2 linked regions of the Struthio camelus genome follow. The protein of the gene in region 2 purifies or fractionates together with the protein of the main gene of each other region. This does not show direct contact. Links are inferred from orthologs where the notes say so. Each region holds a gene or a part of one and is shown on either strand. Other genes may lie near its edges.

Region 1 (9,922 bases), on a different chromosome or scaffold from region 2:
TTCTAGGGATAAGTGATACCCAAGGTCGCGTCACTCCCAGTGGTGACACCCCCAGGACCTTCACACCCCCCAGTGCCACCTCCCAGTGCTCCCAGTTTGGAGCCTGAGGAGCTCCAGGCATTGTAATCAACCTTGGTGTCACCAGCCTGGGGACAGGGGACACCGCAGGGACCCCTTCCAGAGCTCCCAGTTTCCCCCAAGTCCCTCCCAGTTGCCCCCAAGTCCTCCCCCAAATCCTTTTCCGTGTTCCCTAGTCCCCCCCAGTGTCCTCCCAGTTGCCCCCAGTGCCCATCCAGTTGCCCCCATGGCTCCTAGTTCTCCCCCCAGTGCCTCCCAGTAGCCCCCAGGCCCTCCTAGTTGCCCCCAGGCCTTCCCCAGTGGCTCTCAGGTGCCCCCCAGTTCCCTCCAAGGCCCTCCCTGTGCCCTCTAGTCCTCCCCCAGTGCCTCCCAGTTGCCCCCAGTGCCCTCCCCTGCCCCCAAATCCTCCTCCAGTCCCTCTCAGTTGCCCTCCAAATGCCTCCCGGCACCCTCCCGGTAGCCCCAAGCTCCTCCCAGTTGCTCCCAGTGCCTCCTACACCTACCCCAGTGCTTCCCAGCTGCCTCCAGTGCCCTCCCAGCTGCCCCCCAGGTTCCTTCCCATTCCCCCATATTCTCCCCAGTGCCTCCCAGTAGCGCCCCCAGAACTCCTAGTACCCCCTATGCCTACCCCAGTGCTTCCCAGTTGCCCCCAGTCCCTCTCAGTTGCTTCTGCTGCCTTCCCAGTGCCCTCCCGGTAGCCTCAAGTGCCTCCCAGTTGCTCCCAGCTCCCCCCAGTGCCCTCCCAGTTACCCCCCCAAGGCTTTCCCTGTACACCCTACACCTACTCCAGTGCTTCCCAGTTGCCCCCAGTCCCTCCCAGTTGCCCCTCATTCCCCCAAGTTCCCCCCACACCTACCCCAGTGCTTCCCAGTTGCCCCCAGTGCCCTCCCAGTTGCCCCCCACCTCCACGGAGATCCTCTTCTCGCCGTAGACGGACTCGCCGGGCACCATGTTGCGGGTGACGAGGGCGTCCTCCTTCCCCCGGCAGATGAACACCCCTGGGGGGGCAAAACCGGGGGGTGCGATTGCCCCACAGTGCCCCCCAACTACCCCCATCTCCCCTAAATGCCCCACGGCACCACCTAAACCACCCCCATCCATCCCCAACTGCCCCATGGTGCCCCCTAAATACCCCCGTCCTCCCCTAAACTGTCCCCATCACCCCCTCAACCACCCCCGTCCCCCCCAACTGCCCCACGGCACCCCCTCAACCACCCCCATCCCCCTCAACTGCCCCATGGTGCCCCCTAAATACCCCCGTCCTCCCCTAAACTGTCCCCATCACCCCCCCAACCACCCCCGTCCCCCCCCCAACCGCCCCACGGCACCCCCTAAATACCCCCGTCCCCCCCAACCGCCTCCATCCCCCCCAACTGCCCCACGGCGCCCCCCCAACCGCCCCACGGCGCCCCCCAAAACCACCCCCGTCCTCCCCAAACCGCCCCCTTTTCCCCCAAACGTGCTGCTGCCCGCCCGGACGCCTGGGCCCCCGGTACCTTCGTGCCGATGGGGCTCCACCGTCACCTTCTTGCCGCCCTTGAAGCCACCGCGACCCCCCCGGCCGCCGCCGCGGCCCCCCCGGCCGGGCCCTCCTCTTCCTCGGCCACCGCCGAAACCGCCGCGGCCGCCCCCACCGGGGGACTTGAACCCGCCACCTGCGGGGCCAAGGCCAGCGGCGCTGACGAGGCCCCTAACGAGGACGGGGACTGGGGAGCGACTGGGAGGACTGGGAAGGGATAGGGAAGCCACTGGGTGGACTGGGAAGGGGAGAGAGAGCGACTGGGCGGACTGGGAAGGGATGGGGAAGCCACTGGGCGGACTGGGAAGGGGAGAGGGAGCGACTGGGCGGACTGGGAAGGGGAGAGGGAGCGACTGGGCGGACTGGGAAGGGGAGAGGGAGCGACTGGGCGGACTGGGAAGGGGAGAGGGAGCGACTGGGCGGACTGGGAAGGGGAGAGGGAGCGACTGGGCGGACTGGGAAGGGGAGAGGGAGCGACTGGGCGGACTGGGAAGGGGAGAGGGAGCGACTGGGCGGACTGGGAAGGGGAGAGGGAGCGACTGGGCGGACTGGGAAGACTGAGAGGGAGACAGGGAAGTCACTGGGTGGACTGGGAAGGGACGGGAAAGCGACCAAGAGGACTGGGAAGACTGGGAAGGGTCAGGAAAGCGGCTGGGAGGGGACGGCGGAGTGACTGGGAGCTGATGGGGGAGCCACTGGGCGGACTGGGAAACGATGGGAAAGCAACTGGGAGGGGATGGGGGAGCAACTGGGCGGACTGGGAGGGGGCGGTGGAGCTCCTGGGTGCACTGGGAAGGGGTGGGGGAGCCCCATTGGGCAGACTGGGAGTGGACCGGGGAATGACTGGGCAGACTGGGAAAGGATGGGGAAGTGACTGAGCAGACTGGGAAGGGACGGGGGAGCAACTGGGCAGACTGGGACAGCAAGAAGCAGAAAGTAGGCAGACTGGGATGGAACTAGTGCCCAACTGGGCAGACTGGGAATGGGACCGGTGAGCTACTGGGCAGACTGGGACAGGGCAGGAGAGCTACTGGGCAGACTAGGATGAACGCAGAGAGGAACTGGGCAGACTGGGAATGGGACTGGGGAGCTACTGGGCAGATTGGGACAGGGCAGGAGAGCTACTGGGCAGACTGGACTGAGAGCAGAGAGGAACTGGGCAGATTGGGAATGGGACTGGGGAGCTACTGGGTAGACTGGGGTGGGATGGAGCAGCACTAGGAGGGGACAAGGGAGCTGCTGGGCGGACTGGGACAGGGTGGGAAAGCTACTGGGCAGACTGGGATGAACGCAGAGAGGAACTGGGCAGCTACTGGGTGGACTGGGACGGGGCCCCGAGCCCCACTGGGCGGACTGGGACAGTGCGGGGAGCTTCGTGCCCGGCTCTGGCGTCCCCAGGGCCGGCAGCGCCGGTCATACTGGGAGCACTGGTGGTACTGGGAGGGGGCGACACTCACCTCGGCCCCCCCGGAAGCCGCCGCGTCCCCCGCGGTCCCCGAAGCCGCCGCCGCGGCCCCCCCGGGGGCTGAACCCTGTCGGAGACGGGCGCTCAAACTGGGCCAACTGGGAGCACTGGGCAGCAGGCAGAGGCCGCCCCAGTTCCCTCCCAGTCTGCCCAGTTCCCCCCCAGTCTCTTTATATCCCTCCCGGTCCCCTCCTGTCTCCCAGCATCCCCCCCCAGCATCCCCAATCACCTCCAGTTTGCTCCCAGTCTGCCCAGTTCCCTCCCAGTTGCTCTAATTTCCTTCCCAGTCTCCTTCTGTCTCCCAGTATTCCCCCCCCCCAGTACCCCCAATCGCTTCCAGTCCCTCCCAGTATGCCCAGTAGCCCCCAGGCCCTCAAATGTCCCCTTAGCCCCCCTAGCATCTCCCAGTCCATTCCCACCTCTCCCAGTTCCCCCCCCCAGTTTCCTCCCAGTGTCCCCCAGTTGCCTCCCTGTCCCTCCCAGCATCTCCCAAAGTCCCCCAGTCCTCTCCCAGTGCCCCCCAGTGTCCCCCAGCCCCTCCCAGTGTCCCCTAGTTCCCTCCTAGCACCTTCCAGTACCCCCCCAAGTTCCCTCCCAGTGCCCACCAGTCCTTTCCAGCCTCTCCCAACACCACCAGTCTCTCCCAGTGTCCTCTAGCCCCATCCTAGGGTCTCCCTCCCAGTCTCTCCCAGTACCCCCAGCTCCCTCCCAGTTGCCTCCCTGTCCCCCCCAGCTCCCTCCCAGTCTCTCCCAAAGCCCCCAGTCTCTCCCAGTCCCTCCCAGTGCTCTCTAGCCTCATCCTAGGGTCTCCCAATATCCCCAGTCCCTCCCAGTACCCCCCCAGTTCCCTCCCAATGTCTCCCAGTTCCCTCCCAGGGCTCCCCATCCCCCTCCCAGTTGCTTCCGAGCCCTCCCAGTCCCTCTCAGTGCCCCCAGCTCCCTCCCAGTTGCCCCCACTCCCCCCAGTTGCCTCCTTGTCCCGCCTAATCTCTCCCAGTTGCCCTCAGTCTCTCCCAGTTGCCCCCAGTCTCTCCCAGTCCCTCCCAATACCCCCCAGTTCCCTCCCAATGTCTCCCAGTTCCCTCCCAGGGCTCCCCATCCCCCTCCCAGTTGCTTCCGAGCCCTCCCAGTCCCTCCCAGTGCCCCCTGCTCCCTCCCAGTTGCCCCCAGTCCTCCCCAGTTGCCTCCCAGTTGCCCTCTCAGTCCCTTCCAGGCCCTCTCAGTCGCCCCCAGCCCCTCCTAAATGCCCCTCAGTGCCTCCCAGTCCCTCCCAGTCGCCCCAGTCCCTCCCAGTTCCCCCCCCCCCCCACCTGGCCGCATCCCGCCGCTGCTCCACGCGGGGTCGCACGCGCCGCTCTCGGGGCCCCGGAACCGGAAGCGCCTGCGCGGCGCTGACGTCACGGCGCGGCTCCACCGCCCCCCTCCGTTCCGGAGTCCCGCGCATGCGCCGCGGCCCCCTCCGACGCCGCGCGGGGCCGGGCGGAAGTGCCCACACCGCTCCCAAAGAGGGAGGGGGCACGGGGGGGGGGGGAGAGGTTGGTGGCTCTGGGGGGTATTTTGGGGCAGAAATGGGGGGTTTGGGGGTCCTGGGAGGTATTCTGGGGCAGAAATGGGGGATTTGGTGCTTCTGGGGGGTCCTGGGAGGTATTTTGGGGCAGAAATGGGGGATTTGGGGAGTTCTGGGGGATCCTGGGAGGTGTTTTGGGGCAGAAATGGGGGATTTGGGGGTCCTGGGGGGTATTTTGGGGCAGAAAAGGGGGATTTGGGGGGTTCTGAGGGATCCTAGGAATGTTTTTTGGGGCAGAAATGGGGGATTTGGGGGTCCTGGGAGGTGTTTTGGGGCAGAAATGGGGGATTTGGGGGTCCTGGGGGGTATTTTGGGGCAGAAATGGGGGTTCTGGGGGGTCCTGGGAGGTGTTTTGGGGCAGAAATGGGGGATCTGGGGGGTTCTGGGGGGTCCTGGGAGGTATTTTTGGGCAGAAATGGGGGATTTGGGGGTCCTGGGGGGTATTCTGGGGCAGAAATGGGGGTTCTGGGGGGTCCTGGGAGGTGTTTTGGGGCAGAAATGGGGGATTTGGGGGTCCTGGGGGGTATTTTGGGGCAGAAATGGGGGTTCTGGGGGGTCCTGGGAGGTGTTTTGGGGCAGAAATGGGGGATCTGGGGGGTCCTGGGAGGTATTTTGGGGCAGAAAAGGGGGATTTGGGGGGTTCTGGGGGGATCTAGGATGTGGTTTTGGGCACCAATGGAGGTTCTGGGGGTTCCTAGGAGGTATTTTGGGGCAAGATTGGGGGATTTGGGGGTCCTAGGGGGTCCTGGGAGGTGTTTTGGGGCAGAAATGGGGGTTCTGGGGGGTCCTGGGAGGTGTTTTGGGGCAGAAAAGGGGGATTTGGGGGTTCTGAGAGGTATTTTGGGGCAGGAGTGGGGGATTTGGGGGTTCTGGGGGGGTCCTAGGAGGTATTTTGGGACAGAAATGGGGGATCTGGGGGGTTCTGGGGGGTCTTGGGAGGTGTTTTGGGACAGAAATGGGGGATTTGGGGGGTCTGGGGGGTACTGGAAGGAGTTTTGGGGTAGGAATGGGGGATTTGGGGGTCCCCGGGGGAGGGGGCTTTTAGGGCCCCTCTCGGCGCCCACTTCCCCCCCGGCGGCCGGCGCCGCTCTGTCCTCCCGCCTCTTCTCTATGGCCGCCGCGGTCCTCCTCGCCGCTCCCCCTCCCTGCCCGGCCGCCTCTCTAGCCGCCTCATCTCTGTGGCCCCGCCCCTTGAGGGCCGCTAGAGTGGGGGGGGACCGCGCCACTTCCGGCGCCGCTCTGCGCTTTCGCGACGTCTCGCTGGTTCCGGTGCGAGGGCGGCGGCGGTGAAAGTCACTTTGAGGGAGCGGCGCGACTCGGTGAGGGGGGCGGGGGGCACTGGGAGGGAACTGGGAGCACTGGGAGGGCTCGGGGGGGGTGCTGGGAGCGCTGGGAAGCGGGGGGATCCGGGGCTACTGGGAGCACTGGGAAAGGGCGGGACTGGGAGGCCGGTGGGGGGGGGGAACTGGGAGCACTGGGAAATGGCGGGAGTGAGGTTACTGGGAGCACTGGGGGGGCACTGGGAAAGGGGGGGCAGCTAACTGGGAGTGCTGGGAGGGGGAGACTCGGTGTTACTGGGAGGAGTGACTCAGGCTTACTGGGAGGAGTGACTCAGGCTTACTGGGAGGAGTGACTCAGGCTTACTGGGAGGAGTGACTCAGGCTTACTGGGAGCACTGGGGAGGGGGGAACCCAGGCTTACTGGGAGCACTGGGAAGGGGGGGACCCAGGCTTACTGGGAGCACTGGGGAGGGGGGAACCCAGGCTTACTGGGAGGAGTGACTCAGGCTTACTGGGAAGGGGGGGACCTAGGCTTACTGGGAGCACTGGGAGGAATGACTCAGGCTTACTGGGAGCACTGGGAAGGGGGGGACTTAGTCTTACTGGGAGCAGTGATTCAGGCTTACTGGGAGGACTGGGAAAGGAGGAACCCAGGCTTACTGGGAGGAGTGACTCAGGCTTACTGGGAGCACTGGGGAGGGGGAACCCAGGCTTACTGGGAGGGCACTGGGCGCACTGGGATCTCTCCCTGCCCAGCTCCAGCCCTGCAGCGTTTCGGGGAGCCCCCGTTAGCTCCAGCCCTAACGAGCGCCCCCCTGCTAACGAGCCTCCTAACGACCCCTGTGAATGAAGCTTGCTAGCATGCTCCGCTAACGAACCCCATTAACGACCCCCCTTAGCGAACCCCCCACTAATGAACCCTGTTAATGAGCCCCCTGCTAACAAACCTCACTAACGATCGCTGTTAATGAGCCCTGCTAACGACCCCCCCCAAGAACTCCCTCTAACAAATCGCCCCGTAACACCTATTTGCTAACGAACCCCATTAATGAGCCTCCTAGTTAATGAACGTTGCTAATTAGCCCCCCCCCGACTAATAAACTACCTGCTAACGAGCCCCCCCACTAATGAACCCCCTGCTAATGAATCCTGATAGCACCTCCACTGCTAATGCCCCTTGTTAACGAACCCTAATAAGAAGCTATCATCCTTGCTAACGAACCCTGTTAATGAGCCCCCCAATAACGAGCCCCACTAACGAACCCTGTTAGCATCTCGTTGCTAACGAACCCTGTTAATGAGCCTCCCAATAACGAGCCCCACTAATGAATCCTGTTAGCATCTCCTTGCTAACGAACCTTGTTAATGAGCCCCCCAATAACGAGCCCCGCTAATGAATCCTGTTAGCATCTCCTTGCTAACGAACCTTGTTAATGAGCCCCCCAATAACGAGCCCCGCTAATGAATCCTGCTGGCATCTCCTTGCTAACGAACCCCGTTAACGAGTCCCCCCCGATAACGAACCCCGCTCCCGCCTCTCTGCTAACACACCCCACTAACGCCCCCCGCCGCCGCTTGCAAGCCCCGTTAACGAACCCCGCTAACGAGCTCCCCTTGCTAAGGCCCCCCCCCGGCTAACGACCCCCCTCCGCTAACGAACCCCCCGCTAACGAGCTCTCGTTCCCCCCCCCCCCCCCCGCAGCGATGGCGGACGACATCGAGGCCAAGCTGCAGCGCTACCGGACGGCGCCGTTCGACAGCCGCTTCCCCAACCAGAACCAGACCAGGAACTGCTGGCAGAACTACGTGGGTAGGGACGCCTGGGCCCCTCGGACGCCTGGGCCCCTTCCGGGGGCGGGGGGCAGGAGGCCCGGACGCCGGGGCCCCGCTGGGGATGGGGGAGGCTCCGCGGGCGCCGCTTCCGCACCCGGAAGCGGTTCGAAACCAGCTGTCGGAACTAGGTGGGTAGGGACGCCTGGGCCCCCCTTTCGCCCCGGACGCCTGGGCCCCTTTGGGAGGGGGGTTTGAGGGGCTCCTGGAAGCCGAGGTGTCTCTCCCCGGACGCCTGGGCCCCCCGGACGCCTGGGCCCCTTTGGGAGGGGGGTTAGAGGGGCTCCCAGAAGCCGAGGTGTCTCTCCCCGGACGCCTGGGCCCCCTTTGGGAGGGGGGTTTGAGGGGCTCCTGGAAGCCGAGGTGTCTCTCCCCGGACGCCTGGGCCCCTTTGGGAGGGGGGTTTGAGGGGCTCCTGGAAGCCGAGGTGTCTCTCCCCGGACGCCTGGGCCCCCCAGACGCCTGGGCCCCTTTGGGAGAGGGGTTAGAGGGGCTCCCGGAAGCCGAGGTGTCTCTCCCCGGACGCCTGGGCCCCCCGGACGCCTGGGCCCCTTTGGGAGGGGGGTTAGAGGGGCTCCTGGAAGCCGAGGTGTCTCTCCCCGGACGCCTGGGCCCCCCGGACGCCTGGGCCCCTTTGGGAGGGGGGTTAGAGGGGCTCCCGGAAGCCGAGGTGTCTCTCCCCGGACGCCTGGGCCCCTTTGGGAGGGGGGTTAGAGGGGCTCCCGGAAACTGGGGTGTCTCTCCCCGGACGCCTGGGCCCCCCGGACGCCTGGGCCCCTTTGGGAGGGGGGTTAGAGGGGCTCCCGGAAACTGGGGTGTCTCTCCCCGGACGCCTGGGCCCCCCGGACGCCTGGGCCCCTTTGGGAGGGGGGTTAGAGGGGCTCCCAGAAGCCGGGGTGTCTCTCCCCGGACGCCTGGGCCCCCCGGACGCCTGGGCCCCTTTGGGAGGGGGGTTAGAGGGGCTCCCGGAAGCCGAGGTGTCTCTCCCCGGACGCCTGGGCCCCTTGTGGAGGGGGGTTAGAGGGGCTCCCGGAAGCCGGGGTGTCTCTCCCCGGACGCCTGGGCCCCCCGGACGCCTGGGCCCCTTTGGGAGGGGGGTTAGAGGGGCTCCCGGAAGCCGAGGTGTCTCTCCCCGGACGCCTGGGCCCCCTTTGGGAGGGGGGTTAGAGGGGCTCCCAGAAGCCGGGGTGTCTCTCCCCGGACGCCTGGGCCCCCCGGACGCCTGGGCCCCTTGTGGAGGGGGGTTAGAGGGGCTCCCGGAAGCCGAGGTGTCTCTCCCCGGACGCCTGGGCCCCCTTTGGGAGGGGGGTTAGAGGGGCTCCCAGAAGCCGGGGTGTCTCTCCCCGGACGCCTGGGCCCCCCCGGATGCCTGGGCCCCTTGTGGAGGGGGGTTAGAGGGGCTCCCAGAAGCCGGGGTGTCTCCCCGGACGCCTGGGCCCCTTGTGGAGGGGGGTTAGAGGGGCTCCCAGAAGCCGGGGTGTCTCTCCCCGGACGCCTGGGCCCCCCGGACGCCTGGGCCCCTTGTGGAGGGGGGTTAGAGGGGCTCCCGGAAGCCGAGGTGTCTCTCCCCGGACGCCTGGGCCCCTTTGGGAGGGGGGTTTGAGGGGCTCCTGGAAGCCGAGGTGTCTCTCCCTGGACGCCTGGGCCCCCCGGACGCCTGGGCCCCTTTGGGAGGGGGGTTAGAGGGGCTCCCGGAAGCCGAGGTGTCTCTCCCCGGACGCCTGGGCCCCTTTGGGAGGGGGGTTTGAGGGGCTCCTGGAAGCCGAGGTGTCTCTCCCTGGACGCCTGGGCCCCCCGGACGCCTGGGCCCCTTTGGGAGGGGCGTTAGAGGGGCTCCCGGAAGCCGAGGTGTCTCTCCCCGGACGCCTGGGCCCCCCGGACGCCTGGGCCCCTTTGGGAGGGGGGTTAGAGGGGCTCCTGGAAGCCGAGGTGTCTCTCCCCGGACGCCTGGGCCCCTTTGGCAGGGGGGTTTGAGGGGCTCCTGGAAGCCGAGGTGTCTCTCCCCGGACGCCTGGGCCCCCCGGACGCCTGGGCCCCTTTGGGAGGGGGGTTAGAGGGGCTCCCGGAAGCCGAAGTGTCTCTCCCCGGACGCCTGGGCCCCCCGGACGCCTGGGCCCCTTGTGGAGGGGGGTTAGAGGGGCTCCCAAAGCCATGGTCTCTCCCCGGACACCTGGGCCCTTTGG
Region 2 (9,621 bases):
TCATTTTGCAATTTACCCGGTATTTATCCTTTTCACAGTCTTGAATAACATAAGTATCATAGCACCAAAAAAACGTTCATCAGAAACAGAATTGACAGGTTCACACGACAAATTTAATAAATGCATTCAAATTCTAAAAATAACTGAAATTTAAATATTCTACAGGAGAGATTACAGTAAGTTGCTTGCTAGAAAATAGCTGGTCAACAGCTGATCTGTATTGTTAGAGCGTACTAAGGAGACATATTATACTTACAGTAAAGAACGAGGTTCCACAGAAACGAGCACACATCCCTCGCACAAAGCCTTCATGGGCTTGTAAAGTACGAATACACTGTCGTTTGGTCAAGTTCCAAATTTTAACCTGTTAAAAACGGAAAAGTATTCTGTTGTTATTTAATTCAGTTTTCTACAGCCCACAATTACAGTTCATAATTCAAGCAGAAGAGAGCACACACATTATAACAAAATGGCACAGCTGGCTTGAACACTAGCCAGATTTATGTTAAAACCACTTAATTATCTCCTTGAAATAAACAAACAAACAAAAAACATATAGCTCTTTGCTTTTTACTCCTTCCTCCCCCAAACTATACACTTACATTATTTTTGCATTCCCTTATTTTTGATCTGGAATTCTTATTAGAAGACAGCAGCAGTGTTAATTTTAGCAATGACATCCCTTAAAGAAAAAGGCACAAGAAAATAACTTTTGCAACCAATGCAACGTTTTCAACTTCAGCTGCTGTATTATAACCTAAATGTATGTCTACCCCTCACAGGGATTTCTGCTCCAAAATATTTGGAGCCATTTAAATTAAAGAAATGGAGGAGCTCAGTTTTCACATTTGTAAGTACTGTTACTGCTCTGTCAGCGGATAAGAAATCTCAACCACCTTTCATATACACTTATTCCCATGACCCCAAAATTCATTTTCCTCCTGTTTTAAGAGGTTAATCTCCCTTACGCTGCTGTATGATGAATGTATGTTCTATAAATCCTGGAAAGTAAGCGGATACCCAGAAGACACATTTAAAATATACAATTACTATCAAATGTACAACAACATAAGGGTGAGGGAGGGCAGAGAAGATAAATGGTTTTCTTCTGCAATTGCCTCCACATCACAGAACGGCCAAGGTTGGAAGGGACCTCTGGAGATCATCTAGTCCAACCCCCCTGCTCAAGCAGGGTCCTCTAGAGCCCATTGCCCAGGGTCACGTCCAGGCGGCTTTTGAGTATCTCCAGCAAAGGAGACTCCACAACCCCTCTGGGCAACCCGTGCCAGGGCTCAGTCACCCTCGCAGTCAAGAAGTTTTTCCTCATGTTCAGATGGAACTGCCTGTGTTTCAATTTGTGCCCACTGCACAGTTTCTGCCCACTTGTCCTGTCGCTGGGCACCACAGGGAAGAGACTGGCCTCATCTTCTCGACACCCCCCCTTCAGATACTTGTACATTGATGAGATCCCCTCTCAGTCTTCTCTTCTCCAGGCTCAACAGGCCCAGCTCTCTCAGCCTTTCTTCATAGGAGAGATGCTCCAGCCCCCTAATCATTTTCGTAGCCCTTCATGAAGTAAAGCCCACAAAAAGTACCCTTGCTTGCTATTCGTAATAATTATCTAAAATATCACACAGATACACGGTTATCATTTTTAGGGAAGAAGTGAAATTATTATTCCACAAAGTTTTTGAAAGTGTGTCCCTCCCCCCTAGCTCATCTGACTTTATGTAATCTTCTGAATCTGTAGCAGTTCAACTTCAAAGGGCAGTGGGGGGGGGGGGGGGAAAGGACGCAAAAAGCCATAGGGATCGCAAGTTTTAACACTCATTGCTCTATGTCAAGAAACTGAATGTTACCTCCAACTCACAGCTTACCAGAAGTTTCTAGATTTGTGTAAGCACTTACCCGCAGCTATGACAGCCCCTTCTCACTCTTTAACTTAGAGGAACTGTATAGCTGAGAACTGCTTCCTAAACCTTTTTGACATTCATCCCATGCCGGCAGGTCACAACCTGCAGTTTGAGAAACACTGTCCCAAACTGGATAGGATGCCCCTTCTGAGTGAAGTTACGGTATGATAGCCGAACAAAGACACAAAGACAGATAAAAAGAGGGCATTAAAAAAAAAAAAAGAGAGGGGAAGAAAGTGACCTTGTTTGTCGTGGTTTGTAACTGCAGCTTACCTCTCCATCACAAGCTCCAGAAAGCACTGTAGACAAACTCTTTGGGTGTTTGGCCATGCAATTAACTCCATCTCTATGGCCATCAAGCGAGCTAAGAAAGGGTTTTGCAAAAACACGTTCTAGCTTTGTTGCATTCAGAGCTCTTGTGTACTCCCGTGGAACCTCAAAAGGATGCAATATGGGATCATAATTTCTTGGAACTGCAATAAGAGTAACAGTCATTACAAATCTGTTATATGTACTGTATATAACTCAAGGTAAGGTGCATTCAGATGCTTTTCTGTTTGATTTTCCTAGCTGTCGAAGAATTTACTGCAACACTAAGATTTATGCCATACTTACTGTTTTGAAATTGATCTATGGGGATTAGTATGCTCACTTGGCAATGTTTAAGCTAATGAAGTCTGAAATAACTTTAAAGTTACTCGACACCCTTTTTAAGAGTATACTGCTAAACTAACGAATGCACGCAGCAAACTGAAAATTACAGATATTTTGCCCTTCTTGAAATGGATATTAAAAAACAAAACAAAAAACACCTCCTGCCACCAAATTCCAGTAAACGCAGAAAGGATGTGCCTAAACTGACAGGCACAGGGAGCTGCAACCTAGCTCTGTTCCTCTTCAGGCAGCTGCAAAGCAGCTCTGGCTCAGAAATGAGACACAGTCGCTTGGTACTTTGCTGGTGCTATCTCCTTTCGCTGACAGGGATGGTTTATATCCAATAAGCTTGGAGCAAGGGTCTCTCTGCATCCATTTGTGTACCCACGCCTAAAGATAAATTGAGAAAGACAGTAGGAACCGACATTGTGTTTTATACAAAAAGCGTTGTCAGTTGTTCTACTGACAACAGTTAGATCACTCATCAAGATTCAATGCTTATTTCAGTCTACTGATTTTCAAAGAATATTTTTTGCATATTAAAACCCCTAAAAATAAAACCTCTGAGGAAATGGTTGTATACCATTCCATTATATGATAAAGAATTTGATTTAAAAACCTACACACAAACCACACCTCAGCTATTGTTCTAATAAGTAGATTTAATCATCTCGTTCATGGTTTAAGTGCATAACCACAATTAAACAACGAGAAAACGCATAGTTCACAGAATGGTTGAGGTTGGAAGGGACCTCTGCAGATCACCTAGTGCAACCGTCCTGCTCAAACAGGGTCACCTAGGGCAGGCTGCCCAGGACACTGTCGAGACGGCTTCTGAATATCTCCAGGACTGAACAGCACCGGTTATAGTGCTACTTCACAAACAACATAGTTGCCTACCTCTAATTCAATCAAATCAATTCATAGTATATGCAATTTCAAATACTACAGGTCTCTTCTGCTCAAAATACTATTTGATTTAGCGATGCCAAGAAATCCAGAACTTTACACGTGCTCTAACTTTACAAACCTTTCTCCTGAACTATTTTTACACTAAGTAGAAATCAAATCCCATTTCTATCGTTCATAGAGATGAAACTGCGAGCCTGTGTAAAATCAGCTCTGACAGAATATCAGTAGAACAGAGCGTGGAAAGCCATCATCTCATCTACCAGGCCAGAGTTGCTGCATCTAAAACTAACAACTACAGTCTGCAAGATTTTGCCAGTTTCCGTAAGAGATATGCCATAATACAAAAAGCAGGGGGAGAGCTACTGTGCCTGAAACATTAATACATGTAAAAGACTGCTAAGAGTGAGTAGCAGAGCGGGGACTAAAAAACCGAAAATCTGCAGTCCCAACTTTCACTGCGCTTTTAGACGTATCTTGTGAAGCCCCATTTCAGTTCAGGTAACAGAATCACAACCCTTTTTCTTCACAGATGGTTAACTCCCTTCAAACCCCGTTTGAGAGAAATGAACGCAGAGCTTGCCGGCAGACGGCAGGGAAGTCACTTAAGCATTTCAGAGGCGAACATTAACGCCGCTCTTTAACTTCCAGACTCACAGCTTCCGAGACGACCGAAGCGGGGCGTTGCGCGGCCACAGCTCCCCTCCAACCCCTGTAACGAACGCTCAACGGGCGCCGCAGACACGCCCCGCACCGGGCGCATGCGCAGAGCGCCCCCCACCCCCCCACTCCGCGCACGCCGAGCCACCGTTAGCGCCTCCTCAGCCAAGCCCGGCGGCGGGCGAGGAAAAGGAAAGCTAAAGCTCTCGGGGGCCTCCGCACGGCGACCGCGGCGCACCGCTGGCTGGGAACCTTGCCCGCGGGGGCAGCCGACCAGCGGCGTGCGGCCGGCGGGTGCTCGAGGCCCTTCCCGCCCGCTGCCCTCGGCGCTGCCGTGCCCGTGCGGACGGCATGTGGGCCCAGCCCTCCTCACCGCGCTGCAGGTCCAGTTTGGTCTCGCGGACATAATCATCGGGGTTCCGGCTCAGCACTTTGACCCGCATCCTCCCGGCCGCTGCACACGCACACGCACACGCTCCCCTGCCGCTTCCGCTCCGCCGGGCCGGGGGGGGGGGGGGGGAGGAGGAGGTGGCCGCCTCTCACTTGAGCGCATGCGCCGGGCGGCAGGTTCCCGCCGGACTCTCGCGAGACGCGCGCGGGCGGAGCAGGTCCGGCCCTCGGTCCGCGGCGGGGGAGGGGGCGCCTCGCCCCCTGCCCGCGCACTGCAGCCGTTGGGCGCCGCGCGCGCCGTCAGCCGTGGGCGATGGGCGCGCAGGGCCCCGCGTGCGCCGTGGGGGCGCCGGCCGCGCCGCCCGTGCGCTCCCTCTTCCGCCACGTGCGGCTGGAGAACCTGGCGGCGGGGCTGAGCGGCGGCGTCATCTCCACCCTGGTGCTGCACCCGCTAGACCTGGTTAAGATCCGCTTCGCAGGTGAGGCCGGGCCGCCCCTTCCCCGCCCCCCGCCCCCCGCCCCCAGTTTCCCTCTGGGAGGCTGCGCCGCCGTCCGCCCCGGTGAGGCGGGCCGGGGCCTTGCGCGGCCGAGCGGGGGCGCCCGCGGCCGGGAGGCTCTGGAAGGCCGCGGTGCCCGCGGCCGGGAGCTGCTGCGGCTCTTAGGCCTCCGATCTGCAGGCCGAGGTCGCAGCGTGCCTGTGTGGGGCCAAGGCGTCTGCTGGGGGAGGTGGAGTGTGCCGTCATGCAAAAGCCTGAGCTCTTCTCAGAGCTAGCCCTTAATGCTGTCGGCTGCAAATGCAAACCGTACGTTGTGCTTAAGATTTACTAATCCCGTTGCACTTGATGTTTCTGAGCCAGTGACCCACAAACTCTCTTTGGAGAGGTAGGAAAAGGGGAGTACAGCCAGATAAGATTTCGGTGGCTGCAAATTTTTGTCGGTCAAAGTCTATGCGTAGTTGCATAATGACAGGCTTTCGCAGAGTAGCCGTGCAGCTGAGAATAATCGGGCAGTAGGCCAAAAGAGATGGTTCCCTCCTCTCCTTTCTCGAGGTAGGTTTTTGTGTTGTTCCCAGAGACTACAAAATGTGCTGTTACTTGTAGGCTCCGTTATGTGATCAGATCAATCCAAAACAGGGATTTAAACACTTTCTTGTGTGTCTTGAGGGCACACTCTGGTCTATTAAGAGTATAACTAGCAGAAGTGATCCTTCTCTCTTTGGCACTTGTGAGACCACATCTGAAGTACTAGGTCCAATCTTGGGTTCCCCAGTACAAGAAAGACATTGACATACTGGACTTGGCCCAGAAGAGGCCGCCAAGCTGGTCAGGGAGCTGTAACATATGACGTACAAGGAGAGGCTGAGAGAACTGGTTCAGTTCACGCTTTAGAAGGAGACAGCTAAGTGCAGACATTTTGCTGTACCTGATCAGAGGGAGGCTACTGAGAAGTTGGATTTTTCTTGGCAGTGCTCAGCAATAGGACAAGAGGCAACAGACACAAGTTGTAACAGGGGAAATTCCAATTAGATATTAGGAAAACAACATTTTTACCGTGAGGGTGATCACATGCTGGAAGAAGTTGGAGATACTCAACAGTTGACTGGACATGTCCCCAAGCAACCTATCTAAATAGGCCTGTTTTGAGCAGAGGGTTGTATTAGATGACGTCTGGAGGTCTCTTCCAACCTAAATTATTCTGATTCCATATGATTGTTTCACTTTAGTTCTTGATTCTAATCAAGTTTTGGTTGGACTCGTCCAAGGCTCGTAGGTTTTCTACCAAAGTCTCTTCTGAATCACTGAGATCTGAACTCTGTCTTTTAACAGAATAGCTTGTGTGTTGTTTTTTAATACCCGGCAAATGTATCTTTTGTCATGGAAGGGAGTAACATGCTGGTATCTTTTGAGTTTAAATGTCATTTAGGCACTTCTTCCCAGCCCCATGTAAGTTGTGGTTAACGGTCCTTTCCGTTCCTGGTGGCTATCCCAGGGATAGTTTTTGTACTATCCCTAAGTTATTTACTAATATTCCAATATTAAACTTATTCTGCCTTATCTTCAGATAGCTTTTTGGTCAGACTGTATAGGGGGAATGACAGGGATAATTTCATGTGCTTGTTTGGGTTGAAAATAACATTTCCCATGCTTTGTCTTCGACCAGGAAGTAACGGCTGAGATCAGAAATGAACACCACGGAGATTCTCAGCAGCATCATACCAGACAGAGTTACATTGAAATCTTTGATTTCCCCCTTTTTTGGTGTCTTTCTAAACCAGATTTAATAGCAGGGTGGTAAAAATGTGGGAAAGGACCGATGGTGCTAACTCAGGAAGAATGAGAAAGGAGTTCAGTTGGTGTTCTAGTTTTGAGTGGTTAGCAAGATGTTGGTGCTTTGTTAAAATATGCCCAGAAAAAGCATTTTGTCTTTAGTGCTGGAGTCTGTCACGACGCAGTATTGTACACAAAGTTCAACGGAGAATGAATAATGAATAGAGTATTAAACAGAAATATCTGAAATTTTTGCCTGCCAGAACTGATCTTGATGAGGACACAAGAGCTTTACTGAGTATAAAACTTTGACATTCTCAGTAAAATTGCAGTCTAGCCTTATGCCTATACTAGTAATGAAAGCTCCTGATCAGTTATTAGTGTAGTAGAATATTTCAGTTTGGAGGGGAGCTGTGGAGTTCAACCCCCGCTCATAGCAGGTCTACTTAGATCACATTGCTCAGGTTCTTGTCCAGCTGAGTTTTAAGTTGCTCCAGAGATGCCTCCAAGGGTGACCAGCTCCAATATTTGATGACGTTCCTGGAGCAAAAAGTTATTCGTTAGGTCTAGTCACAATTTCTTGTGTTCTAATGCGTGTCTGTTGCCTCTTGTCTTCTCGCCATGCGCTGTACTGCACATGCTGTAGGTAACCATATTACCGTCTTGCTGTAGGAGCAATAGTAGTTAATGTTTTAAGCTGCATGAGCAGCACCTGTGTTCTAAATAAAACATCTCTAACAAAACTGACACGTTTCGTCTTGTTAACAGTCACGTTTTCTGAATGTTTTGACAAAGAGCTGCTCAGTTATTGAGCAGAAGTGTGCATGTTTAAAAAGTGTGTTTTCCTACACGTCCATTCAGTGAGTATAGAAGGAGAAACAAGAATTTATGGTGGAATAACCTTTGAGTGTTCTGGTAAAAACACTTTGAGTCACTAAGACATGGCTTGTTAAGGATATTCCTAGAACGTTTAAAAGAAGAAGATTTAATTTAAGAGTTGCTATTTAGTGCTTAGTCAAACTCCTTATGGAAGTGTGTTGCTGAAGACCCCACAAGTATCACTCAAAATACAACATGAAGTTGCTGGAGTGTTAAAAAGAAAAGGCAGAAAACTTTAGGTCAAAGCTACTGTTCACCAAAAATATGTATTAATTTTGTCAGATTTATAGGGGCTTTCTCTTGCAGAGCTGAGTTCTGGGGGTTTTGGTTTTTTTGTTTTTTTTTTTTAAGTTCTTTAACCGTAGGCTCCTCTTGAAGCTCTAAACCTCAACTCGTGCATACCTTTAAAATATAGCTAATCGGTTAGGTTTCCACATTCACTGCAGCTTTGTTTGGAGGCCACGTACTTACATGGTGGCTCTTAGACAGCTGAACTTCGTACTTCCTCAAACCTTTTTCGATATAATCTCTCTGTTACATAGTAAGTGATGGATTGGAGCTGAGGCCAAAATACCATGGGATTCTCCACTGTATGACCACTATCTGGAAGCATGAAGGACTGCGAGGCTTGTATCAAGGGGTAACTCCAAACATGTGGGGAGCTGGGGCTTCCTGGGGACTTTACTTTTTCTTGTAAGTAGAACTGTGAAATGTTTCATTTCCTATGTAATTAATCCTCAGATATAGGCTGCCTCTTCTTCTGGGGGAAGCGGGGTATGAAAATACGCTAAGTGACTTATAAACTTGTGATTCTTCTGGAAAGTCCAAGTCTGCTGCCCTTTAGTATGGTCCACTGTTTTACAACGTAAGCCATTTGAGGCAGAAACTTGTTACTTTGTCAGGCACAGTGCATGCCTATGGTGCTTCAAAAATACTAAGTAATTTGGGAGATTGCGACATCGTTCTTGAAGAAGCTTCTAAAAGTGGTGAAAAACTGTGGGAAAAGAAAAATTGTACGAAAAATAAGAACCTAAACTATGAAAGATTATAAAAAATTAAAGAATAAAAAGTTGTCTACTGAAGCTAAACGTTTAACTGATTTTCTATAATTTTAGTGCCAGTGAGTTCTTCCTATTTTATGAACGGACGTGCTTTGCTCATAAAGCCTGTTTTTTGTTTTTGTTTAATTTTTTAATATTCGATCGTTTCTACTTTATTAGCTATGTAACTGTGATCTGGTTTCCTGCTGGCCCCAATTAGCTGAAACATTTTAGAGAATGGTTATTTGGTGTGCCTGTGCAAAGCTCACTCATCAGTTGTCTAGATTCTGTTCTTGCTAGGCTTTGTTCCTCAAACAAAGTTCTTTGCTATTAGATCGTTGTTGAACTCCTATTGACTGCTTCTCAATCCACAAAGCAGGTGGCAGGACTGGAAACTGGGTCGAGAGAGAGAGCTCCCTGTATTTCTGAGCTACAAAATAGATGCCTGTCACTGTTTCCTTTTAATAAAAGGAGGACTACCTAATCAGTTTCTCTGAAGTTAATTCTTGAGATCCGATAACTGTTTCAAGATGTAAACTGATGTAACTGTAAACAAGATGTAACTGTTTCACACTGTTACTGAGAGTAATACTTATCAATTTAAATTTGTATTACTGCAGTTCACTTGAAAGAATTAACTATTCAGCAATTAATTAATCAAGTAAACAAAGATACTTTGCTTATACATCTGTTTTGGAAGTTGAGTGACGCCTAATGTTTTCCCTGATCTTAAGTGAATTTTATGTGGGGGTTGTTTCTTAGCGATGTATGTTTCTCTTTACCTTTACCAAAATACATGTTATATTTTCCAGTTATAATGCTATCAAAGCTTACAAAAAGGAGGGGAAGCTGGAAAGTCTAAGTGCAACTGAACACCTCGTGTCAGCTGCGGAGGCTGGTGAGTTAAAT

What was found. Proteins that work in one complex are often made in the same cells at the same time.
Region 1: the proteins of DCAF13 (region 2) and FBL purify together in Homo sapiens (affinity purification with western blotting; 3 studies listed by BioGRID, with this or other methods). This does not show direct contact. The link is inferred for Struthio camelus from reciprocal best matches to the Homo sapiens genes DCAF13 and FBL.

The regions. Positions count from the first base shown.
Region 1 is NC_090974.1:161,452-171,373, forward strand, and holds the start of FBL (rRNA 2'-O-methyltransferase fibrillarin), read right to left. Parts: upstream 4,434-9,922; 5' UTR 4,383-4,433; coding exon 4,373-4,382; intron 3,130-4,372; coding exon 3,055-3,129; intron 1,734-3,054; coding exon 1,575-1,733; intron 1,077-1,574; coding exon 982-1,076; intron 1-981. Other genes in the region: COX6B1 (cytochrome c oxidase subunit 6B1), read left to right, coding at 7,614-7,719.
Region 2 is NC_090943.1:145,207,903-145,217,523, forward strand, and holds the start of DCAF13 (DDB1- and CUL4-associated factor 13), read right to left. Parts: upstream 4,699-9,621; 5' UTR 4,580-4,698; coding exon 4,510-4,579; intron 2,387-4,509; coding exon 2,187-2,386; intron 365-2,186; coding exon 257-364; intron 1-256. Other genes in the region: SLC25A32 (solute carrier family 25 member 32), read left to right, coding at 4,840-5,005, 8,215-8,365, 9,525-9,610. UniProt on the Homo sapiens protein: Part of the small subunit (SSU) processome, first precursor of the small eukaryotic ribosomal subunit.